Macaca fascicularis: one gene and its partners. The protein of the gene in region 2 binds, or shares a complex with, the protein of the main gene of each other region. Links are inferred from orthologs where the notes say so. Each region holds a gene or a part of one and is shown on either strand. Other genes may lie near its edges.

Evidence for each region.
Region 1: the proteins of CALCR (region 2) and RAMP2 are in contact, whole or in part, in a cryo-EM structure (PDB 7TYX), measured with the Homo sapiens proteins. The link is inferred for Macaca fascicularis from reciprocal best matches to the Homo sapiens genes CALCR and RAMP2. Residues at the interface, in NP_001158210.1 of Homo sapiens: Arg45, Lys46, Met48, Met49, Asp50, Gln52, Tyr53, Lys54, Tyr56, Asp57, Met59, Gln60, Trp76, Gly78, Arg126, Phe235, Leu238, Ile242, Thr246, Val250, Glu255, Lys256, Gln257, Arg258, Trp261, Tyr262, Leu264, Leu265, Phe269, Pro273; in NP_005845.2 of Homo sapiens: Trp86, Tyr93, Ser94, Arg97, Asp98, Glu101, Leu109, Pro112, Glu117, Ile120, Phe121, His124, Phe128, Cys131, Pro136, Phe138, Ser139, Asp140, Pro141, Leu146, Met149, Ile150, Pro153, Ile154, Leu156, Ile157, Leu160, Ile161, Leu163, Val164.
Region 3: the proteins of CALCR (region 2) and RAMP3 are in contact, whole or in part, in a cryo-EM structure (PDB 8F0K), measured with the Homo sapiens proteins. The link is inferred for Macaca fascicularis from reciprocal best matches to the Homo sapiens genes CALCR and RAMP3. Residues at the interface, in NP_001158210.1 of Homo sapiens: Arg45, Lys46, Met49, Asp50, Gln52, Tyr53, Lys54, Tyr56, Asp57, Met59, Gln60, Arg74, Thr75, Trp76, Asp77, Gly78, Asn124, Arg126, Phe235, Leu238, Ile242, Thr246, Gln257, Arg258, Trp261, Tyr262, Leu264, Leu265, Phe269, Ile276; in NP_005847.1 of Homo sapiens: Cys57, Leu59, Ile63, Tyr66, Glu67, Thr70, Tyr83, Trp84, Pro85, Gln90, Ile93, Thr94, His97, Arg98, Phe101, Ser102, Cys104, Val106, His110, Leu111, Glu112, Asp113, Pro114, Val118, Leu119, Leu122, Ile123, Pro126, Val127, Leu129.
Region 4: the proteins of CALCR (region 2) and RAMP1 are in contact, whole or in part, in a cryo-EM structure (PDB 9AUC), measured with the Homo sapiens proteins. The link is inferred for Macaca fascicularis from reciprocal best matches to the Homo sapiens genes CALCR and RAMP1. Residues at the interface, in NP_001158210.1 of Homo sapiens: Arg45, Lys46, Met49, Asp50, Gln52, Tyr53, Tyr56, Asp57, Met59, Gln60, Gln61, Thr75, Trp76, Asp77, Gly78, Asn124, Arg126, Phe235, Leu238, Ile242, Thr246, Val250, Ala251, Gln257, Arg258, Trp261, Tyr262, Leu265, Phe269, Ile276; in NP_005846.1 of Homo sapiens: Trp59, Ile63, Tyr66, Arg67, Ala70, Asp71, Phe83, Trp84, Pro85, Val89, Asp90, Phe93, Leu94, His97, Gly98, Phe101, Ser103, Arg109, Ala110, Val111, Arg112, Asp113, Pro114, Ile118, Leu119, Phe122, Ile123, Pro126, Ile127, Val129.

What each region holds. Positions count from the first base shown.
Region 1 is NC_088390.1:63,816,103-63,823,314, forward strand, and holds RAMP2 (receptor activity-modifying protein 2), read left to right. Parts: upstream 1-2,843; 5' UTR 2,844-2,845; coding exon 2,846-3,065; exon of another isoform or gene 3,066-3,314; coding exon of another isoform or gene 3,315-3,411; intron 3,412-3,878; coding exon 3,879-3,944; intron 3,945-4,406; coding exon 4,407-4,515; intron 4,516-4,648; coding exon 4,649-4,904; 3' UTR 4,905-5,091; downstream 5,092-7,212. UniProt on the Homo sapiens protein: Accessory protein that interacts with and modulates the function of G-protein coupled receptors including calcitonin gene-related peptide type 1 receptor (CALCRL) and calcitonin receptor (CALCR). Required for the transport of CALCRL to the plasma membrane.
Region 2 is NC_088377.1:127,838,233-127,844,911, reverse strand, and holds part of CALCR (calcitonin receptor), read right to left. Parts: intron 6,514-6,679; coding exon 6,360-6,513; intron 4,676-6,359; coding exon 4,565-4,675; intron 1-4,564. UniProt on the Homo sapiens protein: G protein-coupled receptor activated by ligand peptides amylin (IAPP), calcitonin (CT/CALCA) and calcitonin gene-related peptide type 1 (CGRP1/CALCA).
Region 3 is NC_088377.1:85,175,559-85,182,926, reverse strand, and holds the start of RAMP3 (receptor activity-modifying protein 3), read left to right. Parts: upstream 1-2,947; 5' UTR 2,948-2,985; coding exon 2,986-3,043; intron 3,044-7,368. UniProt on the Homo sapiens protein: Accessory protein that interacts with and modulates the function of G-protein coupled receptors including calcitonin gene-related peptide type 1 receptor (CALCRL), calcitonin receptor (CALCR) and G-protein coupled estrogen receptor 1 (GPER1).
Region 4 is NC_088386.1:133,756,232-133,763,666, reverse strand, and holds the start of RAMP1 (receptor activity-modifying protein 1), read right to left. Parts: upstream 4,422-7,435; 5' UTR 4,369-4,421; coding exon 4,317-4,368; intron 1-4,316. UniProt on the Homo sapiens protein: Accessory protein that interacts with and modulates the function of G-protein coupled receptors including calcitonin gene-related peptide type 1 receptor (CALCRL) and calcitonin receptor (CALCR). Required for the transport of CALCRL to the plasma membrane.

The sequences.
Region 1 (7,212 bases), on a different chromosome or scaffold from region 2:
CCTGGTCAACCTGGTGAAACCCTGTCTCTACTAAAACACAAAAATTAGCTGGATGTGGTGGCGTGCACCTGTAATCCCAGCTGCTCAGGAGGCTAAGGCAGGAGAATGACCTAACCTGGGAAGTGAAGTTTGCAGTGAGCCGAGATTGCACTACTGCACTCCAGTCTGGGCAACAGAGCGAGACTCCATCTCAAGAAAAAAAAAAAGTCACTGAACAATAGGAGTATAAAATCCCATTTATGCTTTTCTTTAAAAAAAATCCAAAATATGTGGGAAATGAGATAGGAGTGGGGACACAAAGTTTTCTGGGTTATATATTTTGCAACTAGTATATACTTATATATTACTTGCGATTTAAAAAGTGTATTTTTTAATAGCAAAAACAGAAAGGGGCTTAGAAAGGGAAGGTGAGGGCCCTCAGCAGTGGAAAACAGGGGACTTCCCATGACAAAACCAGCTTCTGTTTCTTATACAGCCCTTCCTCCACCCATTGCTACAGATCATCAGATCGTGGGACTATCCCCTATGGCTACATGGAAAAGAAAGGTGAGGTCTCCTGTCCCTATTCATCTCCAAAGACCCCCAAAGTAAACCCTCAGTTACCAGGATGCTCTCAGAGGTCAATAAAAACATTCAAACATCCAACTGGCACGGAAAAGTGGAAGAGGAAAATCAAAACGAGAGAAAATTCCCAGATTCTCCAACTAGACAGTTTGGACACCCGAGCTCAGAAATGACTATAATAAGCTCTCCTTCGGAGGTCTCAACATCATGATGCAAACTTAACCCCAATCCTAGTCTAAAAATAAAACTTCCTGAGGGCCAGGTGCGGTGGCTCATGCCTGGAATCCCAATACTTTAGGAGACTGAGGCAGGAAGATCGCTTGAAGCCAGGAGTTCGAGAGCAGCCTCGGCAACAAAGCAAGACCCCATATCTACAAAAAATAAGCCTGTTGTCCTAGCTACTTGGGAGACTGAAGCAGGAGGATCTCTTGAGCCCAGAAGCTCAAGACTGCAGCGTGCCATGATTCTTCCACTGCACTCCAGTGTGGGCAACAGAGTGAGCCTCTACTCCTAAAAAGTAAGATAAAAATAAAATAGGAACTTCCTACCAAGTTACCTATATTTTCTTTTTTGATCTAAAGGCCATTTTACATATGAAAATCTTGAGCTCCAGAGATGTGAAATAACCTGCCCAAGTTACTTGCGGTAAGACAGAGGCAGAACCTACCTTCAGAATCCCCATCATTTTTAAATTTTATCCATTATCATTATCCATTATCATTATGCCATATTGTCCTTTTTTTTTTTTTTTTTTTTTTTTTTTTTGAGACAGGGCACAATCACAGCTCTCTGCAGCCTCGACCTCTGGGGCTCAAGTGATCCTCCTGCCTCAGCCTCCCGAGTAGCTGGGACTACAGGTGCATATCACTATGCCAGGCTAATTTAAAATTATTATTATTTTTTTTTTGTAGAGACAAGGCTTCACTATGATGCCCAGGCTCTATTTTAAATCTAACATTTGCTTTTGTCCCCTTTAATCTTGACCCCAACCCCAGTCCTAACCCATAGTGGGCTCATGTGCTTCTGGCCCCAACCCAGTGAAAATGGCTTGTTTTGCTTTCTGCACCTCCTTGCTCCCTCCTCCCATCTTATCACCCAGAAATCTACCATGTTTCCTTCTTGAAAGGAGCAATCCTAGGCAGGCAGGAAGGACTAGATTTGGTCCCAGCCTGAAACGTCTTGGAGACTGCCTGGCTCCTTTCTGAATCATTATAGAAATGATCCTTACCAGGAGGACTTTGGAGTTCACGTCAAGCAGGCCATTGACTCTCTCCCACTGGATTCCTTGCAAAAGCAGCCTCTTGACCATAGAGGAGGACAACAGGTTATCTGTGCCCATGATCCAAGAGCTTGAGATCCTGAGATGAAGACTTCAAGAGAGATCATGACAGATAATTTGTGGTGGGCAGTAAACTGGGACAACAGCAGCAGCTGAGTCCAAAGGTCAGTGTCTGGGAGTAATTTAGGAAAGTTTGGTGCTGACAGCTGTGTCTGGGACTTGAACATCATGGCCAAACCAGCTCTTGGGTTCCTCAGCTGCCTCAGAGTAATGAACCTCTGGCCCAGGACACAAGAGGCAACTGTGGTGTGGCCAAAGTCAGGGCCCCTGGAGGCCCAGGCTCAGCCTTGCTGCTTCCTTAACGGTGTGACCTTAGATAAGTCACTTAGGAAAAGAGGAAAGGAAACTAGCATTTAGCGAGTGCAGTGCCCTTTCACAGCTGCCATCGTCACTGTTTGGTGAGGAAGCGAATGTCCCTATTTTACACGAGAAGTCCTAAAGGTAAATGTGTCATTCAAGGCCCTATATCTGGGGAGTAGGAAGGCAGAATTAGAACCCAGAGCCTCTGAATTCAAATCCCGGGCTGTTGGCCCTGAGCTTTAGTTTCTTGGTCTGTAAAATGGTGATACACTCACCAGGCACATGAAGTGGCACACTGAAGGTTCTAAAACCCCTCCCTTCTTTCTCCCAACCGTGGTCCTGAAGAACTGTGGCACCTTCTTCCTGGGAACGTAGCCATCGTATTTTGTCCCCCCCACAACAGGTTTGTGGGGTCTAGGCCCCAGGAGGTATCTGAAGGGAGGGTATTTGGACTTTGTTTTCCCCTCTACCCCACTCCGCAGACCTTTTCCCGACTCCGGAGGGCCGGCTCCCGCTTCTCCTCCCTGGTTTTGGCTGGTGGGCTGACATCAGCGGGTGTTCCTAGGGATAGGATAAGGAACCCTGAGCTGCCCGGCTCAGCTCCAGGCGCCCCTTGCCCCACAACCCAAGACAGCCCTTTAGATGCAGCGGCGTCGAGAGGCCGCTGGAGCTCCCAGCCTCCTCCCTGTTCTCCAGGTCTGGGAGAGCAGCTTGCCGACCCCTACAGACCCGAAAGAGAGAGAGCGCGACTTGAATCCAGGGAGCGATCCTGGGAGACCCTGGAGAGTCCTGGGCGCCACGCAGCCGAGCCCCCGAAATAGATCCCGGTTCCGGGGTTCCGGGAGCTGTCCAGCCTCGCGGGGTGAGCTACGAGAGGGTGGGCCAACGCCGGCGAAGCGGAGGGAGCCGCGGGCGCCAGGCGCGGGTGCGGCAGCTACTCCCCCTCCAGCCTCTGGCCCCGGGCGTCGCCCCCGCCCCCCACGTGGCCGCCGCCGTCCCAGCCCCTCCGAGGAAGCGGCGCGGCTTCCTGCAGCTTGGGCTGGGGATATAGGCGCCCCCACACCCGGGCCCGGCTCAGCGCAGCCGCCGCTCCTCGCCTCCTAGCTGCACGATGGCCTGGCTCCGGGTGGAGCGCGCCGGCGGCCCGCGGCTCCCTAGGACCCGCGCCGGGCGGCCGGCAGCGCTCCGCCTCCTCCTCCTGCTGGGCGGTGAGCGCGGCGCCCCGAGGCCCGGGAGGGAGGCGCGGGAGGCCCCGGAGGGGAGAGGGGAGAGGGGCTGGATGGCCGAGGCCGGAACGGGCCCGGGGTCCGGGTGCGGACCGACGGACCGAGCAGCACTGGCCTTCGGACGGTCCCTGACCCCACCTCGGGGAGGGCGCAGCACGAGCTGCTTCCCACCCGGGGAAAGCTGGGGTGCCGGCCCCGGCCCTGCGGAGAGGGCTTCGGAGGACAGGAGCTGGCCAGAGGTGAGGGGGCTTTGGGCCTGGGTGTGAGTGACTAGGAGCTGGTGCCAGCCCCTCCCTCCCCGGCACTGAGGCGTCCGTGGGGGCTAGATTATTCCTCCTTTTCTTCCAAGGTAGCCCTGTTTACGGAGGGTCTCAGTCCCCCAACCCCGTCGCAGGCTCCACTACCTGGGTCCCCGCTATGCTACCCTCCTCTCCCGTTTCTTCCCACAGCTGTCCTGAAGCCCCATGAGGCCCTGGCTCAGCCTCTTCCCACCACAGGCACAACGGGGTCAGAAGGTGGGTACCCGGGGTGTGGAAGGGTGGCCGAGGGCAAGGACGACAGCAAGTTCAGTGGGGAGGGTCCCTTTCCCACAAGGCCTGCCCCACCCCAGCTGATGCCCCACTAAACTCCCCTCTGTTCTCTCTTGGGGTTCCTTGCAGTCTTTCTCCCTGTCCTCTCACGTGCAGGTCGGCCCCTGCGCGGCTCTGAGCTGCCCACCTCACAAGTGGGCTAGAAGACCCCAGGAAAAGGTGTACGTGGAAGTTCTTATCAGGCTGGGATGGAAAGTGCTTAGCACATGGAAGTCATTACATGATTCCTGAGCTGGGACTCTGTCCTCCGCCAGAATGTCTTGCTAGGGAAACTTTCTGAAGGGTTCCCACGTTTGAAGACAGGCAGTTCACCTTGCAAGCACCTGGGCAGGAGGGTTTGGAGGGAGGGGCAGGGGTGTGGTCATTGTTCAGCATCTGTACCTACAGGGGTGACGGTGAAGAACTATGAGACAGCTGTCCAATGTTGCTGGAATCATTATAAGGATCAAATGGATTCTATCGAAAAGGATTGGTGCGACTGGGCCATGATTAGCAGGTAGGGGCAGTGCTGGAGGGTGGCTCAGGCCAGGGGGTGGGCCTGCTCATTGCAGGTAGACCTTGAGTGAGTGTGGGGCACTCTTCTCCCTGGGCCCACCCCCTCCCTCACTCAAGTCCTCTTCTGCCCCTAGGCCTTACAGCACCCTGCGAGAATGCCTGGAGCACTTTGCGGAGTTGTTTGACCTGGGCTTCCCCAATCCCTTGGCAGAGAGGATCATCTTTGAGACTCACCAGATCCACTTTGCCAACTGCTCCCTGGTGCAGCCCACCTTCTCTGACCCCCCAGAGGATGTACTCCTGGCCATGATCATAGCCCCCATCTGCCTCATCCCCTTCCTTATCACTCTTGTAGTATGGAGGAGTAAAGACAGTGAGGCCCAGGCCTAGGGAGCCACGAGCTTCTCTATAACCACCTTACTCCACTTCCCCACACCAACCAGGCCTCCCTCCTCCCCTCTTACTCCCTTTTCTCACTCTCTTCCCCACCACAGATCCCTGGATTGCTGGGAATGGAAGCCGGGTGGGGTAATGGCACAAGTTCTGTAATCTTCAAAATAAAACTTTTTTTGTACAATGTCCTTCTTCCCATTTCAGTGGAACCTGTGTCCTTCCCTGCCACTCCCATAGGCCCTCAGCTCTGGGTAGTAGAACTGGAAAAATCTGGATGGCCCATTGTTCTGTTCATTTCACCTGCCCCCCTGCTCCCTGCCTCCATGAAGGTCACACCCCTATATTCTTTCCTCCCAGGCGGGCCTTTCCTGTCCTTATCCAAACTCAGCTCCAGGAAACAAGCAGGAAGAGACTCCCTTCCGGTCTGGACAGCAGCTGGGGGCCTGCAACTGAGGAGGTGTGGGGGAAGGGGCAAAGGAAAAATCTGTGCTTGTGACTCCTGCAAGAGGAGCAGGAGGCTGCCCAGGAGCCCTGACTATTCCCCTTCTTCATGCCTCAGTTTACTCCCAGGGCCTGGGAAGAGGAACCCTGACTGAGCAACAGGAATCCATTCCTAAGGACCTCACAAATGTGGGAGAAAGCAGTGGGGGCTTCCTTTACTAGGTTCACAACCCCCCTCCACCTCCCTTGCCCTCATCCTACATTGTCCTGGACTGGGTGTGGCCTACAGCCTAGCAACACACTGCCCCCTGGTGTCCGCTAAAGCCAGCAATCAGGAGACCTATGTGATCTGGAAGAAGCTCAAGGCTGAGGAGCACTGGACCCTGGGGTCAGAAAACCGCCATCTCCACAGCAAACAGTTCCTTGTGTGTTTGTTTTTTGAAACAAAGTCTCACTCTGTCACCCAGGCTGGAGTGCAGTGGCACAAACATGGCTCACTGCAGCCTCGACCTCCTGGGCTCAAGGATCCTCCCACCTCAGACTTCCAAGTAGCTGGGACCACAGGCGTGTGCCACCATGCCCAGCTAATTTTTTTTTTTTTTTTTTTTTTTTGAGATGGAGTCTCACTCTGTTGCCCAGGCTGGAGTGCAGTGGCGCAATCTTGGCTCACTGCAAGCTCTGCCTCCCGGGTTCACGCCATTCTCCTGCCTCAGCCTCCTGAGTAGCTGGGACTACAGGCGCCCGCCACCACGCCCAGCTAATTTTTTTGTATTTTTAGTGGAGACGGGGTTTCACCATGTCAGCCAGGATGGTCTCGATCTCCTGACCTCGTGATCCACCTGCCTCAGCCTCCCAAAGTGCTGGGATTACAGGCGTGAGCCACTGTGCCCAGCCCACCCTGAGCCTCTTCAGGGACTTTCCTTCTTGTTGAAATATCTGCCTCCTTGAGTACATGCATGTCCATTTCTTGGGGCATCCTGCCTTTTCCATATATACTTGTATGCTTCCTGGAACATGCCTATTCATTCTCTGAGACACACATCTCTCAGGGCACATCTGTTTTTCTAGGCACACATATGTTCCCTAAAAATATTTTGAGTTTTCTGACTGGGCGCAGTGGCTCACACCTGTAATCCCAGCACTTAGGGAGACCGAGGCTGGTGGATCACCTGAAGTCAGGAATTCGAAACCAGCTTAACCAATATGGTGAAACCCGTCTCTACAACATATATAAAAATTAGCCGGGTGTTGGGGCGTGTGCCTGTAGTCCCAGCTACTTAGGAGGCTGAGATAGGAGAATCGCTTCAACCTGGGAGGCAGAGGTTGCAGTGGGCTGAGATCGCACCACTGCACTCCAGCCTGGGTGATGGAGTGAGATTCCGTCTCAAAAAAAAAAAAAAGTATATATATTTTGAGTTTTCACCTGAAATACAGGTTTGCTTTATTTCTATGAATGCATCTGTCTTCCCTAAAGGTATCTACTCCCTTTGTGGCATGTATTTGCCTTCATGCATTTTATTAATGTACATCAAAGACCTGCTGGTATAAGACATTGTGTGCGCAGTGGCTCACGCTTGTAATCCCAGCACTTTGGGAGGCTGAGGCGGGTGGATCACGAGGTCAGGAGTTCAAGACCAACCTGACCAAGACAGTGAACCCTAATCTCTACTAAAAATACAAAACTTGGCCAGTTGCAGTGGCAGGCACCCGTAATCCCAGCTACTCTGGAGGCTGAGGCAGGAGAATCACTTGAACCCAGGTGGCAGAGGTTGCGGTGAGCCAAGATCATGCCACTGCACTCCAGCCTGGGCGACAGTGAGACATCGTCTCAAAAAAAAAAAAGACACTGTGTGGTATATTATGT
Region 2 (6,679 bases):
AACTATTGGAGAAGAACAAGAACATACCTTTCTTTATTTACTTGCAATGTTTTTTCATTAGATTAACTGTATGAAACAATAATTTTTGGATCAAATGGTCAAATCTTCCCAGTCCCATATGGTTAAATCCAATAGAACAAAGAAGTCCAAAACTAAGGGATATATCAAGAGGTCGTTTTTCTGCCTCTCAAGAGATTTCATTTGAATCATCTCTCTTCATCCCACAGAAAATATATAGGGATCCAGGCTTTAGCCTTTACTGTTTACTTTTTAAAGTATCTCATAGATGCTTGTTAATGAAATTCCTACTCAGCTGGACTGACATATTAAAGATCTCCACCTTCGCTATGTGGGGGCCAGGCACCGCTCAGCGCTTTGTAGAATTATCTTCTTTAACGTTAATAATGAGTCTTTGAAGTGAATATTGTTCTTCCCATTTTATATATAAGTAAATTTCCCTTCCATAACTAGCATCCAGTAAGGTCAGGCATCAAATCCGAGTCTACTTCATTCCAAATCTATTGCAGAGCTATTAAGCACTAATTAAGCCACTTATTTCTGTGGCAATGTGCCAACTGATCAGAGGAAACAAAACAGGTAAGCCCTTATTGTTAAGATGCAGATGTAGGTGAGAAAATAAGACGATGTAAATGGCACCTGGAAACTGGATTTGGCATAGAAATAAAAGATAACACTGGTTTGGCCCCCCACTTTTTTTTTTTTTTTTTAAATTGATGCTTAGCAAAGAGGAGGAAAGCCTGGCATCTTACTGTCCCTCCAACCAGCAGGTCAATGATTCTGGGGTTGCTCACTGAGGTTAAGAGTTCCGCTTACACTAAAATATTTTGGAGGAAAAGGACAAGAAGATTTTGTTTGGGCCCTGAGAAAGAACCTTCCAAGTGCTTGCTTTGTGGTGTCTGCTGGTTCTCATCAGGCTTATTGTTTTTTCAATTATTTTTGTGTGATATGTTCAGTGCTGGTTACAATATGATAAAGCCTTGGTGCTTTTTGAATTTTAATTTTTTAGCCAGTGTATATGTATCAGTACAAAGTAAAGTTCCAAATTTGATAGAAATAATAAGTTCTCATGGGGATGACTCATAATATCTTTGCTGAAATTCATACTAAAATATTAGGCCATGATAGCAATTTTCATAATTTTTTAAAATAATATTTGATAACTTATCATTACCAGACCCTACATCAAGTGCTCTATCTTAGAAATAAATAAGAAAACTTCTTTGTTCTGTATGTTGCTTAAATTATTAACTGAGTATATATCTGAGATTCTGGGTTAAGTGCATGAGGCTGGGAAATCACAATATATATTGGGAGTAAAGAGTGGTCAGAATGGTGAGATAATATTTATCAAGACATTATTATCAGCAGGATAAACACACTGTGAAACTAGTATATTGTTAGCAAACAACTAAAGTGGCACTTAACTAAAATTAGAATTTAGCTGGATTGTATTATAATACCGGTCAACAATATTTTAATTTCGTACTGGGACTCTAGAAGGTGAAATCTCATAAATGATCAAGGTTATCTATATTCCATTCCAGTGACCTAAAGAATTTTAGATAATGTTGTTGGCTACAAGATAATATTTAAATTCTAACCTCTGAATTGGCCAAGCAACTGAAAGAAAAAATCAGGTTGAATTAAATAACATAGAAATAATGAACAAGCAAATATTAAAATGAATGTACTTGCCAAATTTAATCTCAATCATTCAGATATTCTCTAGTTCTTCAAAGCACCTATGTGATGTGTTTATTGTCTGAGAAATCAAATAGCAAGCCTAGATTGGTATAATATGCAGGGAGATTTTGCAAGTGTATTTGGAATCTTCACAAAATTTTAATCTTTGATAATTTCTCAGGGAAAATATTTTTGAAGCATTTTCCTATGTTAACAAAGGCAAAGCATTGCTGTACCTATAGATAATGCTTTTATAGATGGTTATTTTCTTTTTTAGCACAGGATGTGGAAGTCAGAATCATATGGTAATATTTGAAGAACATTGCTATTGTTTTAAAGGCTAAGGAAAAAACATACTGAAAAAAAGGGAACCTTATTTGGCTGAAAAATCACTGAGATCTGATAATATTTAAAACAATTTTCTGCTAGTAGGTTTGGTTACTCAATCTGCTAAGAGCTAGTACAAAAATCCTTTTTCCTTGGCAGTTTTTAGGTGTAATTCATCATTTTTTATTGTATGACTGAAACAGATATTATTTTACTAAATGCAAGATTTAAACTGCAGGTTATAGAGTTATTTGTATGTTTAATTTTTATTTAAAATGTATGAAAAAATATTTTTTCAAGCAAAAGATGTTTTCAAGCAACCTATTAGAATCATTACTGCTTCATGTAAATCCGTTACAAAGTTAAATAAGAAAACTTATAACTGTAAATTTACTGAGATAGCCACCAGACAAACCCTATTTAAAGCATCTCTATTGGACATTAACAACGTGTGAAAAAGGATTAGCACCGATCAGCACAAAAAATTGATGTTGAAAATTTGTCAATTATTTTGCTAACATTATTTGTCAATGACCAACCCTTCCAAGTTTACTTGCGATTTTTAAAAGTGGCCACATTTTATATTTATCAGATTGCCGAAAGTAGTTTTTTTAAAATAAAATGAATATAATTTGGTTTCAATGAAGTTATGTAGCTGGATATGGGAAAATATATTGTATGCAGAGAGATGCTACTCTTAAAGGTCATTCCATTCATGAACGAGGCTATAGGAAACGGTATTTTTTGTTTTGTTTTAACTTAAGTCTGGATCGAGTCATTTCTTGGTTTTAACTGTTACAACTATCCAGAATTTGTTCTCCTTCACCTGATGAGTCTTTCAATATTTGAAGAAAGGATTATGTTTACTCTGGGTCTTCCCTTTACAAACCAAACATCCTCCATTACTCACTCCCCACAGCTTGTCCGCTCACAGCCTGGAGACTCTCCACATGTGCTTTGATGATTGATATTTCTCTCTAAAATACTCTATGTGTGGACTGACCTGTGAAAAGTACGATGTGCTTCTCTTACTCCAGATTCACATGGGGGAACTACTTGAAGATTCTGAGGTCCTGTCCCTAGAGATTCAAATTCTATTGATCTGGACAGGGTCAGGCATCTGCATTTTTTAAAAGCTCACCATTTTTTTTTCATTTTGTGAAAGGGCATCTGGGTTGAGAATCACTGTCCCAAACCATATTTGGACCATCTTGGCTCTGTGCCATTAAAGTTGTTTGTTTGGCTTCAAGTGTGGGGCTGTAAATGCTTTCTTGTTAAATTTTGCTTTTTACATTCCCGCATATTCCTTCAGAATGTCAGCCTCTTTTGAATTTCAATACAGTTCTTTCACTATCTGTCTTTTACCAAGGACTTTTTCCAAAGTGAAACCTCTGGCATTTCATTAATGTGTTTTTGTGTGTGTGTGTGTGTGTCTGTGTGTGTGTGTGTGTATTTATAATTTAAGTTTGGAATATATGTATATATTTCAGACACATTTTAAAGTGAATTTGTCCTGCAGCTGAGAGGTTTCTGTATAAGAACCAGGCTGAAAAGATGGATCAATGCCTGGAAATCTCTGATTTGTTGATCAAAATCTTGCCTTGTAGTCAATATTTATATCCACTTTGGCAAGAGCCGCATTGTTACTTTGGAACTGGCCTAGTATCCTCAACTGCACAACAGCTCTTTGTGCCAATCAAGTTACTTCTAATGTAGTTGTCAAATAAAGATTAATGAAGCATCATTCATTGGGAAGAGTCAATAAGGTCCTGAAGGATTATCATCAAATAGCATTTAGTTAGAGATTCCAGGAATGTAGCCGATTTAGCGCACAGCACAAAGCCCTTTCTTTCTTCACATCCCAACTTTTCCATCACAATGGGAATTCCCAGAAGTGGCTAGCCTGCACTGGTTTTAAAAGAGGTCCTCTGCAATCCCACTTACATTATCTCTGCCTTACTGAGGTGAAATTTTGTTTTCAGGGACAAATTAGATCTTTTACTCTTGAAGGAAGCACAAAAAGCATTTTTCAAACATTGTTTCAGGGGTAGATTCATTTTTCTTCTTTAATTGGGATTCTAAAGCCACTTAACCCCTGTAGGCTCAGGCTCACTTTACTCTCAGGAACAAATTTCACCCATTAACAACCTATATGTTGTGCCCATAGGTAATCCATTTAGTTTCAGCATCTGGGTCTCCTTCATAATTAAGATTTCTACCCCCTTTTCAGTGAGACAATTGAAAAATGTTTAAAACTCACATTTAAATAAAACTATTCACAGAGTTTTAGAAAAGCTATGTTTATAAACCAGAATTTAATACCAACACATATAACTGACCAGCAATATGCCTTAAAAAAAGGACAGCTTGTAATATTTGTACAACTAAGCAGTATTTCAATTAAGGAAACGCTTCAGAAGCTGCTGAAATGTGGAGTATGATTAGGTAGGTACATTTTGTATCGGATTTTCTTCTTAAAACCATGAAAACTCTAATTCATAGCAAAAGCATAAAATGAAAATAAGCACTCTACCTGATGGATCAAAATCTGGAAAATAATCTGGGCAGAACTGATAGGACAGTACTCCAGCCGGTGTGTCATCCCAGCACAGCCATCCATCCCAGGTGCGATTGCAATATGGACCTGGCCATTTAGAAGGAAATTAATATTGAAGCCTTGTGGATTTAACTAAATGAGAAGATTGATCTCAAGACAGTATTACATGGAGCTGGGCTCACTACACCAGTCATAACCACCTACTTTTCAAACGAGCCAAAGTCATTGATTTTGGAAATACAGTTTCAAATAGCCTTAGCATATCTGTGACCAAATTATCTCATTGGATGACAAGCAGGGCTCTATTTCTACTTTGTAAAAGGTTCCAAAGTTGAGCTTATCAAAAAAGCAAATGCCCCAAAGACTGCAAGACCCTCTCTCTCTCAACAAAACAAAACAAAACAAAACAAACAAACAAACAAACAAAAACCTACACAAAACCATGAAGATTTACCTCTATAAAGGTGTGTATTCAAAAGAATCAGATTCAGGCTTTCAAGAAAGCTCTCAAAAATTATTTAAAAAATGAAAAGAGTTCTCAGAAAACCCCCGAAAATATCAGTACTGTGTTTTTATTGTCTCATTGGCTTCAACGAAATTGTTTCTCCTTCGGTCAGAGTTATATCTAATGCCTGTTCAGTTCTTGATAAACACTGAAATTACTGCAGACAGAAGAATAACATGTATCTGCCTTTCAGTTGACTTGATGTTTTTGTTTAAAGGAAAATGCTAAAAATAAGAACTACAAACTAAAACTTGAACTATTTGAAAGCAAAGAATGTGCAGTAACAGAGTATATTTAACCATTTTTTTCCTACCAAGTTGGCTTGTCTTAAAATGTACCTGGTAGTAGACCAGACACAGTGTCTCACACCTGTAATCCTAGCACTTTGGGAGGCTTTCTTGAGCCCAGGAGTTGGAGACCAGCATGGACAACATGCTCTACAAAAAAAAATACATGCTCTACAAAAAAATACAAAAATTTGCCAGGCATGGTGGTATGCACCTGTAGTCCCAACTGCTCAGGAGGCTAAAGTGGGAGGATCGTTCTGGGTGAGAGAGGGAGATCCTGTCTCAAATATATATGAGATTGTAAAAGATCTTATTAAATCTTTTCAAATGCCTCAGGGGACAAATAGGAAAATTTAAAGGGATGTTGCAATGAGCTTGCCCATCACATCTCCCCTTTTGCTTTCTATGGGTCCTCTACAGCTAATAGAATATGTTTAGACTGGAAAATATCTGGGCAGTCACATACAGCCATTCTGGAGAAGCTGGTAGATAAGCAATGTCTGGCTAAGAGGTATCATTTTGTAATTCTCCTGGAAAGTGGGGCCAGAAAGTGTGGAAGAATAGTATGGGTTGCCAACCAGTTGACAGTTAAAGGGAAGATACTACCTAATTAATCCAAGCAAGATAGGGTTTGATAGCATCCACCTCAGTCAAATTCTCTGCCCATTATTTTCCAATTCCCTTTCCTGTCATTTTCTACATCCCCTTCCCCACTCGGTCCGGTATTGTTCCTGCTCCCCAGGTGTGAATACTGAATTATTGCAGTCATTTTATCATGAGGGCAGATGTTAGTCAAACTGCAGTCAGATGAACTTGGGCAAAGAAATTAGGCATATGCACTGCGTGAAATACACAAACATACCATAGTGTGAAAACTGCTGGCATATTAAATTAAAATTATTCAACACATATTTAACCACAAAAGAAAATGTCTTTAATGGTGTTTCAAACATACGTTCATATATATCCTTCTCTTTACCTTCTCCTTGGTATGGGGGTAACTGCTGCATCCGGTCATAGCATTTGTACTGTGCATCCATCATCTTCTTTCGTCCTACGATGTAAAGAAATGGCTCGGGCTCTATTGTTGGATAGGTTTGATTTGAAAAGGCAGGAAGAATTGGGATTGGGTGCTGTATTAAAAAGAAAAATCAGTTACTTATAGATAGGAGGAATGGGTGAGCACAAACAAATGAGACAACGAAAAAATTTGAAAACATTTGTTTTTGCTCTCTAAGCAATATTTATTCATGGTCTCTATGTACAATATTTTTTCGTATATATAACTAAAAATGTTTT
Region 3 (7,368 bases), about 43 Mb from region 2:
CGCCTTCTCAAGCTCGACCCTCCCGAGGTCTAGCCCCAGGACAAGCAGAGCCAAATCCCAAACCTCACCTGGTTCTGTGCTCAGGCCCTCGCCTGGACACGTGGACACTGGGCAGAAGCATTAATTCCAGGGACAGTGAAGGCCGAGCGGCCATGTGTTCCTCTGATCTGGTAGAAGCACCAGGATGTTGTTTCTTCCTCTTAGAAGAGGCCACTTGAGTGTCAAGAAAATGTTCTCTTACAACTATTTAAGAGTAAAAGGAATCACAGAGTAAATATCAGGATAATGGTGAATCAGGACTTGATCAGGAGAGAGACTACACTGCAATCTGAATGGGTAAATTTGGTATAAAGAATTATGAACCGGCCGGGCACGGTGGCTCACGCCTGTAATCCCAGCACTGTGGGAGGCCAAGGCAGGAGGATCACCTGAGGTTGGGAGTTCATGACTAGCCTGACCAACATGGAGAAACCCCGTCTCTACTAAAAATTCAAAAATTAGCTGGTGTGGTGGCACAAGCCTGTAATCCCAGCTATTCAGGGGGCTGAGGCAAGAGAATTTCTTGAGCCCCGGAGGCGGAGGTTGCGGTGAGCCAAGATCATGCCATTGCACTCCAGCCTGGGCAATAAGAACGAATCTCCTTCTCAAAAATAAATAAATAAACAAATAAATAAAAAATACAAAATTAAAAAAATAAAGAATTATGAACCATAAGAGGCGATTCCTGAGAGGACCCCAGTGCTCACAGGATCACAGGCATAGAGAATGGTGCCAGGGCCAGCACCCACCGAGGGACAAGCAGGGAGACAGGTGTTGTCCAGGGTACACCTCATGGTCAGTCTCATTTTTGGTGGCAGCCCTTCCACTCGCAGGGTCGGGGGGATGCACTGTGGAAGGGGTAGGTCCCCCTCTCCCAATGCTCAGCTCCTCACAGCCTGTGTTAAACCCACCTGCCCTGCAGAGGCCATGGGCAGCACTGGGCAGAAAGGAGAAGTGAGGGCCCTGTCTTAGAGGGACATAGAGGACAGTAGACACAACTCCCTGGGAGTTTGTCAGGGCATGGTTGGTTCCTTGGAGAAGAGGTGTTGGAACCAACTCTGCAGGATGGCCAGGGCTTCCCCACTGCAGAGTCAGAGTGGGGAGTCCAGGAAAGGGAGCATTGCTCCCTGGTGCAGGCTTGGGGGAACTGGCTGCCCCCGCTCCCACCTGACGACCCCATCCTCCTGTTCCAGCCTGTAAGCTGTGTGCAACTGCCTTTGGGGCTGTGGGACTGAGTGGGGACTAAGACTCTCCTGGAGAGAGCTATAAGGCCGAGTCTGTGTGGGATGTGGGTGGACACCCGGGCCCGGACCGTCCTCTTGGTTTGTCGTGGCTGGTGTAGGGTATGTGTGTGTGTGAGCCAGACCCCTGCTGCCCTGGTCGGCTTGTTTTGTGGCCCCTGCCTGTGGGCACCAGCAGTCTCACTGGAGGCTCTGTGGCCACCCCTGCACCTGCTGCCCACCCCTCAGGCAGAAGGCAGGACAAATGATCAATTTTAATTAGTTTTGACTCCTTTGAATTAATTCTGGCTGCAATCAGAATTTCTTCAGTAAAAAAGCACAGAAAGTTCTGCTCCCAAATAAGGGTCTTGTTAAATAAAGTGGGTCTTTCTAAGCCAGGAGAAGGTCAGCTCAGCTCCTGGGAAGGTAGCAGTACCTACGGCTCAGAGGAGTGGAGGGCCCATCCGTGTGGGAGCCTGGGCCTGTGCTCCAACCTCAGACCAGCATGCGCCCCCAGGGGTGGTGGGTGGGCCCTGGAGGGCAGAGAGGGGCCTCTAGCTGGCTCTCGGAAGTCCTGGCCAGTGACAATTCTGCAGACACCATCAAGTGTCCACTGGAGCCAGGGCCTGTGCTAGGGGCTGAGGATGACAGAGGCGACCCATCTGGCTAAGTGACCTGTGGCTGGAGAAACTGAGGCCTTCCTTCCCCTCAGGAACCCTGACACTCTCCGAGGCCAGGTCTTTGGGGGCGCCAGATACTCTTGTCCCTCGGTTTGCTTGTGGCTTGGTCCTTGATGTGTGATATATCTCTGTGTGTAGCTGCCACATCCTCCAGTCTCTCTCATACACACTGTTTCCCAAGCACACACTCACAAACACACCTTGTCTCAGACTCAAACTCACACATGCCACACACACACCATACATCACACACTCCATGCACACACATGCATCTACACATACTCCACATGCACATCACACACATATTCCATGAACACCACACACACACACACACACACACACACACACACACCCCAACCTCCTTCATGCACTTTCCTGACCCTTGGAGACCTGGCTCCTAGATGTGTCTCTGCTCAAAGGTCCCCTCCCTGCCTGGGGGCAGCTCTGGACTCTGGTCTACTTTCGGCCAGGGCACACCTAGCCCACCCCCAGGTCCACCTTCCTCCAGTCTACCCGCAGCCTCCTCTAGGCCATCATCAGTCCGCGCTTCATCCACACCTCAGCTCCCTCCCCGGTCTACCCCCACACTCTGCCCCCAGCCTGGACGGAAGTTCCCCAAGTCCTTCCAGCCTGCAGCCCAGCCTACCATCAGCCGGCCCCCACTCTCACTCCAGCTCACCTCCCAGCCTGCCCCTGCAGTCTGCTCCCAAAACGCTCCTTTGCAGCTCAGCACCCCAGTCCCGCCCTCAGAGCCGGCACCCCACCTTACCCCAGCTAGTCCCCAGCTCGAAACCCAGCCCTCACCCCACTCTCACCCCCGCTGAGATTCCAGCCCAGACTCCAGCCGCCCCCTGTCCCTCCCACCCGGCGCGCCTGCAAGGCCTGCACCCCACATCTGGAGGTAACGGGCACGGCTGGAGGCGTGGTCTGGGGGGTGCGGCCTGGGGGCGGACTCCCTGAGGCCCCGCCCCACCCCAATCCCATCCGGGCGTCCCCGGTTGCACCCCCAGCCGGACCAAGCGTGACCCAGCCGCGGCCGGCCAGCCATGGAGACTGGAGCGCGGCGGCGCCCGCAACTTCTCCCGCTGCTGCTGCTGCTCTGCGGTAAGGGGGCGTCGACCCGCACCGGAGGCGCCCCCACTTCCCGGAGTTCATCGGACCCGCGTGGACCCGCGCCTTCCTGCACCTGCGCCGCAGTCCTTCCTTTCCCCCTGAGCTCGGGAGGGGCGCACAGCGACCCTGGCGGGCTCCCCAGGCTCTGCGGGAGGGTTCACCCGGGAGAAGCTGAAGGCAAAGAACTCTGGCGGGCAAGGGAGGCACAGGGTCCCCTCCGGGCTCTTCTGCCGGCGGGGTCCGGCAGTCCCCGCTCCTCCTAGTTGTGATGTCCCCCCACGCCCCAGTTCTGGGGTCGCCTCAGGGTGGGCGAGAGAGGAGGCGGACCAGGCCTGGCTCTTTCCCCCTTCCCCCTAGGATGGGTTGTCGGTGAGGTAGTGAGCTCCCTGTCCTGGCATTGAGTGCCTGCCCACCACTCACAGGGGCGTGGGCGGGTGGACTCCGGACTGCGTAGCTGGTCCTAGCAGGGCCCTTCAGTGTGTGGACGCTTGTGTGTGTCTTGGAACTGGCTGACAGGGGAAGCGGGGCGACTCTCTGAGCCATCCTCTCCTAATGTCTTCTTCCGCAATAAATCAGGACTCTGGGGAGAACCGTTGCTCACAAAATGGAAACAGATTAAACTAAAAGCTTATTTTGAACTACCTTACTAAAGAAATTATCCAAGAGAAAGTGAGAGAGAGAGAGAGAGAGAGAGAGGAGGGGGGGGGAGAGAGAGAGAGAGAGAGAGAGAGAATGTGTGTAAGGGCTGTTGGGGAAGAGTGCTTGCTGAGGGCTGGAGTACACTAAGTGGCGACTGAGCCTGGCCAGTTCTGGGGGGACACTGGTGAGGGAGGGCCCTGGTCTGGTGGTCCCCAGTTTCCCTGACTGTAAGATGCAGCGTTGGGCCTGTTTTGATGATTTGGGATTTGGTAAGGGAGGTGGGAAAAGGGTGGACCAAACTCAGTGTTCATTTTCCTTCCATTGAAGAGGTCTTGGTGTGCAGAACATGTGTGGCTTCATTTGGTGTTCCAGGGCTGGAGCCTAGGACGTGGTTCATTTTGTGTTGAAGTGCAAAGGTGCGTGGCAGCTTCTGAAATCAGGAACATGCTGATTTGGGATTTCAGCAAACTTCCAGTGAGCTCCCCTCAGGTGGAGATCTTGGTCACTATAATGGAAGGAAGGTCCTCTGAATTCATTCTGGGAGAAGCTGAGGCTTTCCTAACCATCTCCAGTATGGAATTGAGAAGGACCACAGGCTTCCGCCTGCACAGAATCCCTCCTCTTAATAATCCTGTCTCTTGTGGACCCAGTTCCTGAGGGTCACTTCTTTGTCTTGTTGTGTTGGTCCTGACTGTCCCCCTCCAATGGGACATGGGTTCATGCTCCCTGGCCAGAATGGGGACCAGGCCCAGCTTCTCAGCAGACCCTCCCAGTGTTTGCCTGGCCAGAGTGAGATTCAGAGAGAGGTAAAACTTGCTCATGGTTCCAGGCTGATGTGTCAGAGGTGGGACTGGAGCCCACATCTGCCCTGGATGCTGCTGTATCTGGAAGGAAGGAGCTGGGTGGGTTCCTCTTGAGTGAGGACTGGCTCAGGGGGACCAGCAGGGAGGGTGCTGACCTCTGGGGCTTCTTTGAGAATTCCAAACCTTTTTCCAGAAAGCATTTGATGCTGTGCAGGGCTGTGGGGATGCAAAGTCCAGCAGTTGTCTACTCAGCAGGATGCTTTGCTGTTTTCTATTTTGATTCAGTTCCTGCGACTTTTACTAATGCAGCCAGTAGTCCAGCCCTTGACTGGACTCTTTTGGTCTGGGTGAAAATCCCGATCATGATCCCAAGATTACAAAGCACTCACTGGCCTCAGTTTCCCAGCTGCAATGTAGATGTAATAGTAGCAACCTGCAAAGGGCTGCTGAGACCGTCAGTTTGATTCCATTCAGTTTAGTCTTTATCGTCTTGTGTTGGGCATGGGATTGTGGGGTGGAAGGATTCATGCTTAAACAAGGGGAGGTGTAGGAAGGCACCCACCAGTGACTGCACTGGGCCTCATGAGGCTCACTCACAGCACCCAAAGATGGAGCACCATAGTGTGTGTGCCTGTGTGTGCAAGCATGGTACCACCATTTTTATCACTAAATGATGTCCTGCTACCATGTTACCTGTGGTCACATTGATTCTGCTGAATCAAGTGGGCCCAAGGGCCGTGGTTGGATAGCAGTAACTCTGGTGAATTAAAGACTTGGAGGTGGCAGGCCGGGGGCAGTGGCTCACGCCTGTAATCTCAGCACTTTGGGAGGCCGAGCAGATCACGAGGTCAGGAGTTTGAGACCATCCTGGCCAACATGGTGAAACCCCATCTCTACTAAAAATACAAAAAATTAGCTGGGTGTGGTGATGCATGCCTGTAGTCTCAGCTACTCGGGAGGCTGAGACAGGGGAATCACTTGAACCTGGGAGGCGGAGATTGCAGTGAGCCGAGATTGTGCCATTGCACTCCAGCCTGGTGACAAAGCGAGATTCTGTCAAAAAAAAAAAAAAAAAAAAAAAAAAAAAAAAGAAGACTTGATGGTGGTGATTGGCCAAGAAGAGGCCCATAGATTTTTGGCACTGGAGGTTCCTTGGAGGTTATCTGACCTCCATGCTCTTACCTACTCTTCATAAGGAAACAGAAGTCTGGAGGGTTGAGAGGAAGTTGCCCAACCACAGAGAACAGGGGCAGAACCACCCAGAATCCACAGCCTCCCAAGGTCGACTGACCATGGCCCATGGCAGCCACTTGCCAGTCTGATCGATGCTCTTTCTGTTAAGGATGGGGAGAGCGCCTGCGTTTCATTTCCAAATGACTAGCCACAAAAGCCCTTTCTCGCGGAAGTGCATCTGTTTGGCTGTTTATCATCTCTCGGCGTCTGGAAGTCCCTGAGACAAAAGAAACACAGGCCGGCATGTTCTTTGTCTCCCAATGAAACCAACCAAAATGGATTTCTATTTTGATTCAGTTCCTGTGACCTTTACTAATGCAGCCAGTAGCTTGATTGGCAATGACCCTCTTTTGTGGTGTTGCCAGGAATCTGTCTTTACACCATTGTTCTAACATTGGGTGGGTTGTCAGGTTTTGCTGGGAGCCCCTCAAGCCTCATGTGCACTAGAAATGAGCTTCCTGGGAGGACACTTGGTCTCTCAGGGTGCCTGCCTTGTGCAGGCCCAGGGCTGGCGCTGTCACAGGCATCCTCATAGCACCTCCATGGGCAGAGAAGTTATCTCAGAACACCTGCCTGAGGATGGCCTGTGGTCCTCAAAGGCACATTTACAATCTGCCCAGGCCAGGTCCTTGCCATGGGGCATGTGGAGGTTCTGGGGTATGCAGAGATTTGGGGCATGCAGAGATTCAGGGAGGGGCATGTTGTCAGGGACCCCTCCTTCTCTTTAGATAGCTATGCCACCTGGGTGCGTGTTTGTAGAGTCCTGGGGGAGGGGCTGGGCAATGCCCTGGCACTGGGGGTGGTGTGGAATTGATGCTATCTTTGCCTGGCTCAGAGGGGGAGATCAGGGGCTCAGGGAGAATAATAGTTGCCAGAGGGTAATGGATACTTACCAGGACCTTGTCCCAGAGCTGTGTTTCAGAGCATCATGGTTAATGTGAAAATGCGGCAGATGCAGGCCCTGTATAGGGAGGTGGGCTGTAGGAACAGCCACAACTTGGGCTGGCTGCGGCAAATACCTGCTAGGAATGGGCTTGGGGGGAGAAGGCAGTGGTTCAGATTCGTTCTAACTTCCAGGATGAGGAGGAAGGAAGGAGGGGAGAGGAAACAGGGGATGGAGAGGAGGGTAAAGAGGACGGGGGAAGGAGGAAGAAAGAAAGAAGGGGAAGGAGAGGGAGGCGGAGGAGGAAGAAGAACTGGGCTGGGTCTTGGTCTGATAGGTGACAGTCAGAGCACGCTGAGGGGGCACCAGGCCAAGGGGTCCAGGTCTAGGGGTTCAGATTCAGACCTAGGGGTCCAGGTGGACCAGGCTGCAGGTGTGGGCGCTGGCCAGGAGGGACAGGGTGGGGCTAGCCTGGCTCGTGCCCACTGGGATGGTGGGCCGAGCTCAGGAGACCCACCCAAGGGTTCTGAGATAATCTGTTAGGGAATGACGCCAGGCCCAGGGATGAGGACAGTAGCTGGATGTGGAGAGCAGCTAGGTGAACCTTCAGAGTCCAAGGCAGGGGCAGCTTTAGGGTGGAGGTGCACAGGCCTTAGTTCTCGTCTGGCTCCACGTGGTCCCTGGGGCTTGCATCCCTTGGTCACTTATGCCAGGGCTGTCTTTTCACCTGCAGGCAGGTGCCGCTGAGCAGGGTGGCA
Region 4 (7,435 bases), on a different chromosome or scaffold from region 2:
GAGGCTGGGCATTGCCCCTGTGAGGGATGGAGGTGGTGCTAACCCTGGCGGAGGGCAGAGTGGATGGCCAGGGCCTGGGGTTTCGGGGTTCTGGTTCTTGGTCCCAGAAAATCCACCGTGTGACTGCCTGTGGGAGGCAGTGAAGCACTCTCGAAGCACAGTGAGGAGTCACTGAGACAGCTGAGAACGCAGAGTCAGTGGAGCTGCGACTCAGGCCCATAGCCCTGCACCCTGCCACGTCTAGAGGGCTGCGACTCAGGCCCATAGCCCTGCACCCCTGCCACGTCTCGGGGGCTGCGACTCAGGCCCATAGCCCTGCACCCCTGCCACGTCTGGCTAGTGTGTCCCCGTGGACCCTGCTCCAACAAAGCCACCCAGAACCCGTGATTTAAAAGATGGTTAAAATGATGCCTTTTGGATGCTGCAGAAATTACTGAAATAAAACATCTTAGGAAAAAAATATTTTTCCTGAACACAAGAACATCATTCGGTGAAGTGAGCACGATTTTGTTTGGGCTGGGAGCTCTCCTATGGTGGCCGTGTTGATGCACCCTCCTCAACAAGGAGAAACAGGTCCTCCAGGAACATCACCCAGCTGGGGGTCCTCCTGTTCCGGAGCGGAGAGGGCTGGGGACAAGGACATCCCTCCGGGGCTTCGTGTGTCTGCTGTGGGATGTGTCAGAGGTAAGCAGGGGGTATGGCAGGCTGGGAACTGGACAGTGCCCTGGCAGTACCATCTCTGCCTCTTCATTTGTCACCAAGAAACTGATGGGCAGGGGCAGTGGGCACACGGTCCAGCAAGTGCTGGAGCCACCAGGGCCACTGCAGCCCAGGCTCCCCTGTCCCCTTCCCAGCTCCCACTGTCTTCCTGGCTGCAGCGCCTCCTCCTTCAGGAGGCCCCCCTGGGTCCCCAGTGGAGGAGGAGGCTGTTAGGCAGGATTCCCACAGTCCCCCAGGTACGCCATTCTGGGAGCCCCCTGAGCCTGCTGTCTACCAGACACCATCCCTGCAAGGGACAGACACCCATCTCAAACGTTATGGGTCACATGATGGAAATGTGTACCGCATGAGCTCGATCTAGGGGCTCAAAAGGTGTCAGGAGGGCTCTGTCTGTGTCATGGACAGGTGCTCTCCCGTGACTCACAGGGTAGACTGTGGCAGCCCCACTCAGATCCAGCCTGGAGGAAGGACGCAGTTTTTCCCCGTGGTTCCAGCAGAACACTGACTGTCCAGCCTGCGGCCAGTCTCCTCCCTGGGACCATCTGGATGGCCAGGCCTGGCTCAGGGCCCACTGAGGGCCAGCCCACCATACCACAAGGACCATCAGGAAAGAGGGGTTCTAGGCCTGAGTTGGGGGTGGGGGCACTGGCGGGCAAGCCCGAGGGGCTTCACTCTCTGGGCTCATCATTTCCCCTGGAATTCACACTACACACGGCACCTGCATCACACAGTCAGCCAGACGCCAGTTGTAACTGATTAGAAGCTAAGAAATGGGTGCATTCTGGGGAAAAAAATCAGGACAGACTTTTCCAACTAGCCTTAAGTAAAGATTCCACCTCAAACACTTCCCGGAGCTGAATCTACCATTCGCACTGCGGATAGAAATGTTTCTCAACAGCCCCGGCCTCAGACTGGCAATAAGCACACTGACAGGCATGCGCCTATGGAAGGAAGACAAAAATCCAGAAATTTCCTCCTGCAGCTAAACACACAGGGTAAACAAACACACTGGGTTGATTAGCAAATAAGAATCCTTCAGATTTGGACTTTGGCATGAGAACTGTGTCCAGATTTAAAACCACATGGCATCTGAAGCAGTCACATAGCATTTCCTGTGATGTCCCCGTCATTCCAATTCTACTTGTATTTATATAAAGTCATATATTTCAATTAATGTTGCAGCCATTAAAAAACCCCTAGCTCCTACACGACAGACAAGGAGGGCATGCGTTTCCCAGGACAGATGACTGAGTTCATGTGTGACAGCACCAGCCAGCACTCCCTGAGTGAAGATGGACTCAAAAAACCAGGGGCTTCTGACGCATCCTTCTTTCCTGATTAACGAACAGCTTTTCGGTGTCTATACACAAACCTTTAAGAATGCATGTAGAGTCTCCTGTAAACACAAGAGTACACAGGATGCTCAGAGGGAAAAGAACTATATATGGATCCTAAGTTTTTTTTTTTTTTTTTTTTCTGAGACGGAGTTTCACTCTTAGGCTGGAGTGCAGTGGCATCTCAGCTCACTGCAACCTCTGCCTTCTGAGTTCAAGTGATTCTCCTGCCTCAGCCTCCCAAGTAGCTGGGACTAGAGGCGCCCGCCACCACGCCTGGCTAATTTTTTTGTATTTTTAGTAGAGACGGGGTTTCACCATGTTGGCCAGGCTGGTCTGGAATTCCTCACCTCAGGTGATTCACCCACCTCAGCCTCCCAAAGTGCTAGGATTACAGGCGTGAGCCACCATGCCTGGTCAGATGGTGAGATTCTTAATAACTACCTAAGACAAATAACTTGATTGTAAAATTGTCACAGATAAGTTCTCAAACCTGTAAACTAGAGTACTTTAAAAAAAATTCCATGTTGCCATTCTGGATAGCAAAATCTTCATCACCAAGGAGATCTGGCTAGTGCTGCAGCTTGGGAAGGAAACAGCCTGTGCTCAGTAATTCTACTAATTACAGCTGGGCTCCAATGACATTCATTTACTGATAACCTCATAAAGTTGTGCTTGTTCTTCCAAGACATAACATTAGCCAGGCCACTCAAAATAATGTTAAAATTACAGGACTTTGGACTTTCGGCAGAACATGACTAGTTTTCTTGATAAACAAGTAAGGTCTTTATATATGATCGTGACATAGTGTTTTATTTACACAAGCTTTAGAGGGTGCAGCCTCTGGACACTAGTAAAGAACATTTATTTATCTGGTTATTTATATAAAAAATATTCCACAAGCCAGCTCTCTGCCTTGCTAACAAAGAAATGTTTGTTTCTTAGGAAACGAAAACAGTGAAGGCCATGTCAAGCCAAATGGAGAGAATAAAATTACTCTGAGATTTTGCTTTCCACGCAACTTCAGCCAAAACTCTAAAGTGGCAAGACCCGCTTTCAGATTATATTATATTGGCCTCTGAGGATTCTATGCAGATCTGCCACCCCTTGGAGAGGTTTACAAATAGGGACCAGAAATCCATGGCTCCCAAGAAGCCCTGGCCCCTCTCCTTGCTGGGCCACGAACTGCTCCCCCAGCTACAAAAACAGCGCCGGTGGTCACTGCTTGCTCAGTGCCAGTGCCAAGGAGTCTTGTGCGGCAGGTGCCTCTGACCAACATCACTGTTTCTGGGGAAAGGCCACACATACCAGAAACAACTGCTCCGGCCTTCCCAGGGGCACTGGGTTCTCCCACGCCAAGAACCTATTCTGTTGCCATTAAAAGGGAGCTAAATACACGGAATAATGCAATAACCAAAGCGGCTTAGAAGGGGCTTGAGTTAGCATTTTAGAAACACGTTACAGACAAGGGAAGTGAACAGGACCGTTTCTTGCTGAGTGTCTGGCCAGTTCCTGTGGCCATTGGGCTGTTGATAATCTCCACTTCTCCCTCCAAGTGGAAAGCCAAACATGTTCCACCACTTCACCAAGGGACCCGTCCTTCTTTAAATTTCTATTAGCCAAAAGTGCCAAGTTAACAAGCAAACCAAAAGAAAAAAGAAAAAAAAGCGATGGAAATGTCCCGAAAAGACATGATTTGCAAACAAGCAACTGCTGCATGCGACAGATTGTCAGTGTTGACTAATTTCCATACAAACGGGCTGTGGTTCTGATTCCCAAACACTGCGTCTTCTGCAAGGTGCCTGCCTGCAGGTTTTGCAACGCGGGACCCTAGGGAAGGGAGCCTGCGCTGGCGGTCACCGCGGCGCACAGCCTGAGAAACGGAGGAGCGGGGCTGGGGAACCCCGCGTCCTTTTTTTCCTTCTGAAAACAAGTTCTCCAGTGTGCAGGGCTGACTTGCCCCAAGCTTTTCAGAACGCCCGCTCCCCGACGTCCCCAAAGCCGTCCCTTCCCCAGCGAGAAGCGCAACCCCGGTCCGCGCCCTCCGCCTCTCCTGTGCCCTGGGGCCTCCAGCCTGGAACCCGGGCGGCTCGCGTTCAAGGGCAGCAGATCCGTGCGCCCGCGGCGCCCGCCCTCCCCGCCCCCCTGCCGCTCCCCGTCCCCCTGCCGCTCCCCGTCCCCCCGCCGCTCCCCTCCTCTCCCCTAGAGGACACCGGCTGGCCGGGGGAAGGGAGCTCGACCGGGACCCCCGGCCCTACTCACCCAGGAGCAGCCAGAGGCCGCGCTGCGGGAGACGGCACAGGGCCCGGGCCATGGTGCACAGCGGTGCCAAGCCGAGTCCGCTCGCCACGCGCCCCGCTGAGGACTGAGCCCGCCGCCGCGCGGGCCAGGAGGAGACGCGCCGGGGGCGGGAGCGGGCGCGGGAGCGGTGGGAGGCGGCGGCCGCGCGGACCGGCCCACTGCGGCTCCCCGGGTGGGTGCCAGGGCTGGGGACGCCCAGGGCTGGGAAAACCTTGCAGGGGGGCCGCGCGGGCGTCTCCAGGCCCCTCCCGGGGGGCGGCACACTTGGGCTCCGAGGGATGACTGCTGAAATGTTCTCCGAGCAAATAAACACTTTTTAAACTAGGAAGGGTCTCCTAGACGACTCAGCGTGAGCAGCATCTTGGTCTCCACCTGGGGATCTTCCCCTCCTCCTCCTCCGAGGTTCTCGGCATTCCTGCCTGGTGTTTGCCTTGCAAAAGGCTAAGATCTCCCAGCTGTATCTACCTCTCCGCCCAGGTGCAGGCTCTGGGGAGCGGTGGGGGCAAAACTCGCCGCCGCGCCTGACGAGACTCGTAGTAACCCAAAATGGCGCACACTTACCAGGCCCTGGAATGCTGCTCCAGATCTGCAGGATGAGTGGGTGGGCAGAGGCGGGGACAGCACGGCAGGTGAACAGAAGCCGTGGGGCTGGAGGGAACAGAGCTGTTTGCGGGGATTGAGATGGCCTAGGGGTCTTGCTGTTGATGGATAGCAAGAGGCTGGCAGGAGGCTGTGAGGGCCTGGCCAGAGTCCTTAGAGACGTGGTTTGCTTTGGGGGCAGTCACTCTGGCAGCTGCATGGAGAACTGATGGGGGATCTTGGGTACATTCGTTTATGTAAAGTGGTGAGAGAAGGGCGCTCTGGAGATGGGCTGGGGAAGCCTGGGGAGGAGCAGGTTCTGGGAGGCACAGGCCTGGCCTCTCAGGGCATTACTGGTGGCTGGATTTCACTTGCAATGGTTCCTTCTTGTATTATCCTGTTCCAATAACTCTTAGCAACAGTACATTTATACTTGCGCTAAGGAATGCACCATTGCCCTTGGAGGGGGAAGAATCACCACCCTGGTGCTGCAGCCACAGCTGTCTCTTTTGTGGTGGAAGCTGCAAGCACACAGCATTGCTGAGTGACCAACGTTTCCTCCTAGGAAAGGGAACAGTCTGTGGCTGAGAGGCTGCTGCCACCTGCAGTAAGCTCAGAGAAGGGGAGACAGCCGACAGCGAGGTCATCCACCGGTTCTTCTAACACAGGCTGAGAGGGCACTCAGGGCCAGCATGCCTACCACCTGCGCGGGGGCCCCAAGTGTTCTGAGAGTGAGGGGTCTGGGTGAGATGGTGGGGGAGGGCACACATTCTCTTGACTTGATTAGCCCCTCTTCTTGAACCCTAGGAGATACACCCCATTGGGTGGCCTGGCCTCCCTACTTTCTTCATTTAACAGACATTTGTGTCCCTATGTGCAAGACAGTGTTAGATCAACAAGCCCTGCCCTTCAATTGGTGAATCTAGGGGTGACCTCTAAAACTCTCAATAACATGAGCGCCACAATACAGGAGCCATACAGAACAAGGGACACTTGCCTCAGCTGCAGTGCAAGTAAGGAGACAAAGGACTCTGGACAAAATACAGCCCAGGCAGTCCTGAGGGCTGGGTGGAGAGAAGTGCACAAGGGGAATGCAGGCCCAAGCACAGGCCTGGCAGCCAGAGGCCGTGCCATGTGAGAGCAGCACAGCTAGTGGGAAGGGTGGATGCCAGCACAGCCCTGGGACAGGGCCACCGTGCATCCTGCACTAGGTGACAGCCAGTCACAGTGGGGGAGAAGAGCCTGCATCTTTCTGCAACCATCACCCGCACTCCATACCCAGGGACTCTCTGGCTTGAGCCACCCTTTCTACTGTAGCTTGTGGACTTCGGCTGCATGTTTGTGGTTGGCAACTGGGACGCCTCTTTCATCAGGCTCAGCAGGAGTCTGTCTTCCCAACGTTTTCTCTTTGAAGCTTGACTGCAAGGAGGCAGGGCCAGAGGCCACCGCCATTTTCTCAACACTCCCTAAAGGATACATTTTCCTAAGAAGACAAAGCCTGTTTCTCAAGTTCACGTGCTTTAGAAATTCATGGTTCTCTGGAGAATGCTGAAGTGAGGCACACACCTAGAGGCAGGTTCTCTCCTCATGATTTTCCTGTCTGTACCTTGGGTCTAAGTAAGAGATTCCTTAGCAACTACTATGGGCTTCCCTTTTTCAAAAGTTCTGTATTTCTCAATGTATCTGTATTCCTCAATGTATCTGTATTTCTAATTTGTCATAGGTAGCATGGAAAATCATTCCTCTCCCAGGGTACCTCAATCTAGAGGGACATTAGGTTAAACAACGGAAGAGATTAGAAAATGGCCAAATGCTTTACTGCATACACAGTAGGGCTAAAGATAACAATCAAAGCCTGGTCAACACTGCTAAAAATTCACTATTAACATAAGACTCCTGCTTCCAGCCAAGATGAAGTTACAGGGACTGGACTTACCTTCCCATCTTAAACTAAAAAACTGGATAAAATGTATGAAACAATGGTTGTCACAGTGGACCACAAGAAGTGCAGGGACCCCTGATAGCAGGGTAACAAATAGAGTGCGAGAACTGCTCACTGCCTGGAGTTTGCAGACCACAGAGAGAGAAAGGAAACCCAAAGAGAGTTTGGGGAAGCCAGGCAGTTAACGCTGGCAGGGCGTAGTACCAGAGAGGAAAGAGCTGCGCAAAGAATGCACGTGAGAGATCACAGAGGGTCCCACTTGAGTCTCAGCCCACACATCTAAGGACGCTACCCAAGGGAAAACAGCCTAAGAGCTCACACCTGACTGGGAATAGTTCCAGTTCCCACCAACCATAGTGGAAAAATCTTGAAATACACAGAACATCAGAGCATAATTAGAAGGGTAAGGCCCTCTCTGTAGTCAGTAAAAATTACAAAGGCTATTCTGGTGCTGCCTAACAAAACTTAAAAGCAAGAAATAACAGGATCAAATGATTTCCAAATGATGTAGCTATTACATTCCAGAACTTAAAAACAATCAAAGGACAAAGCATCAGAG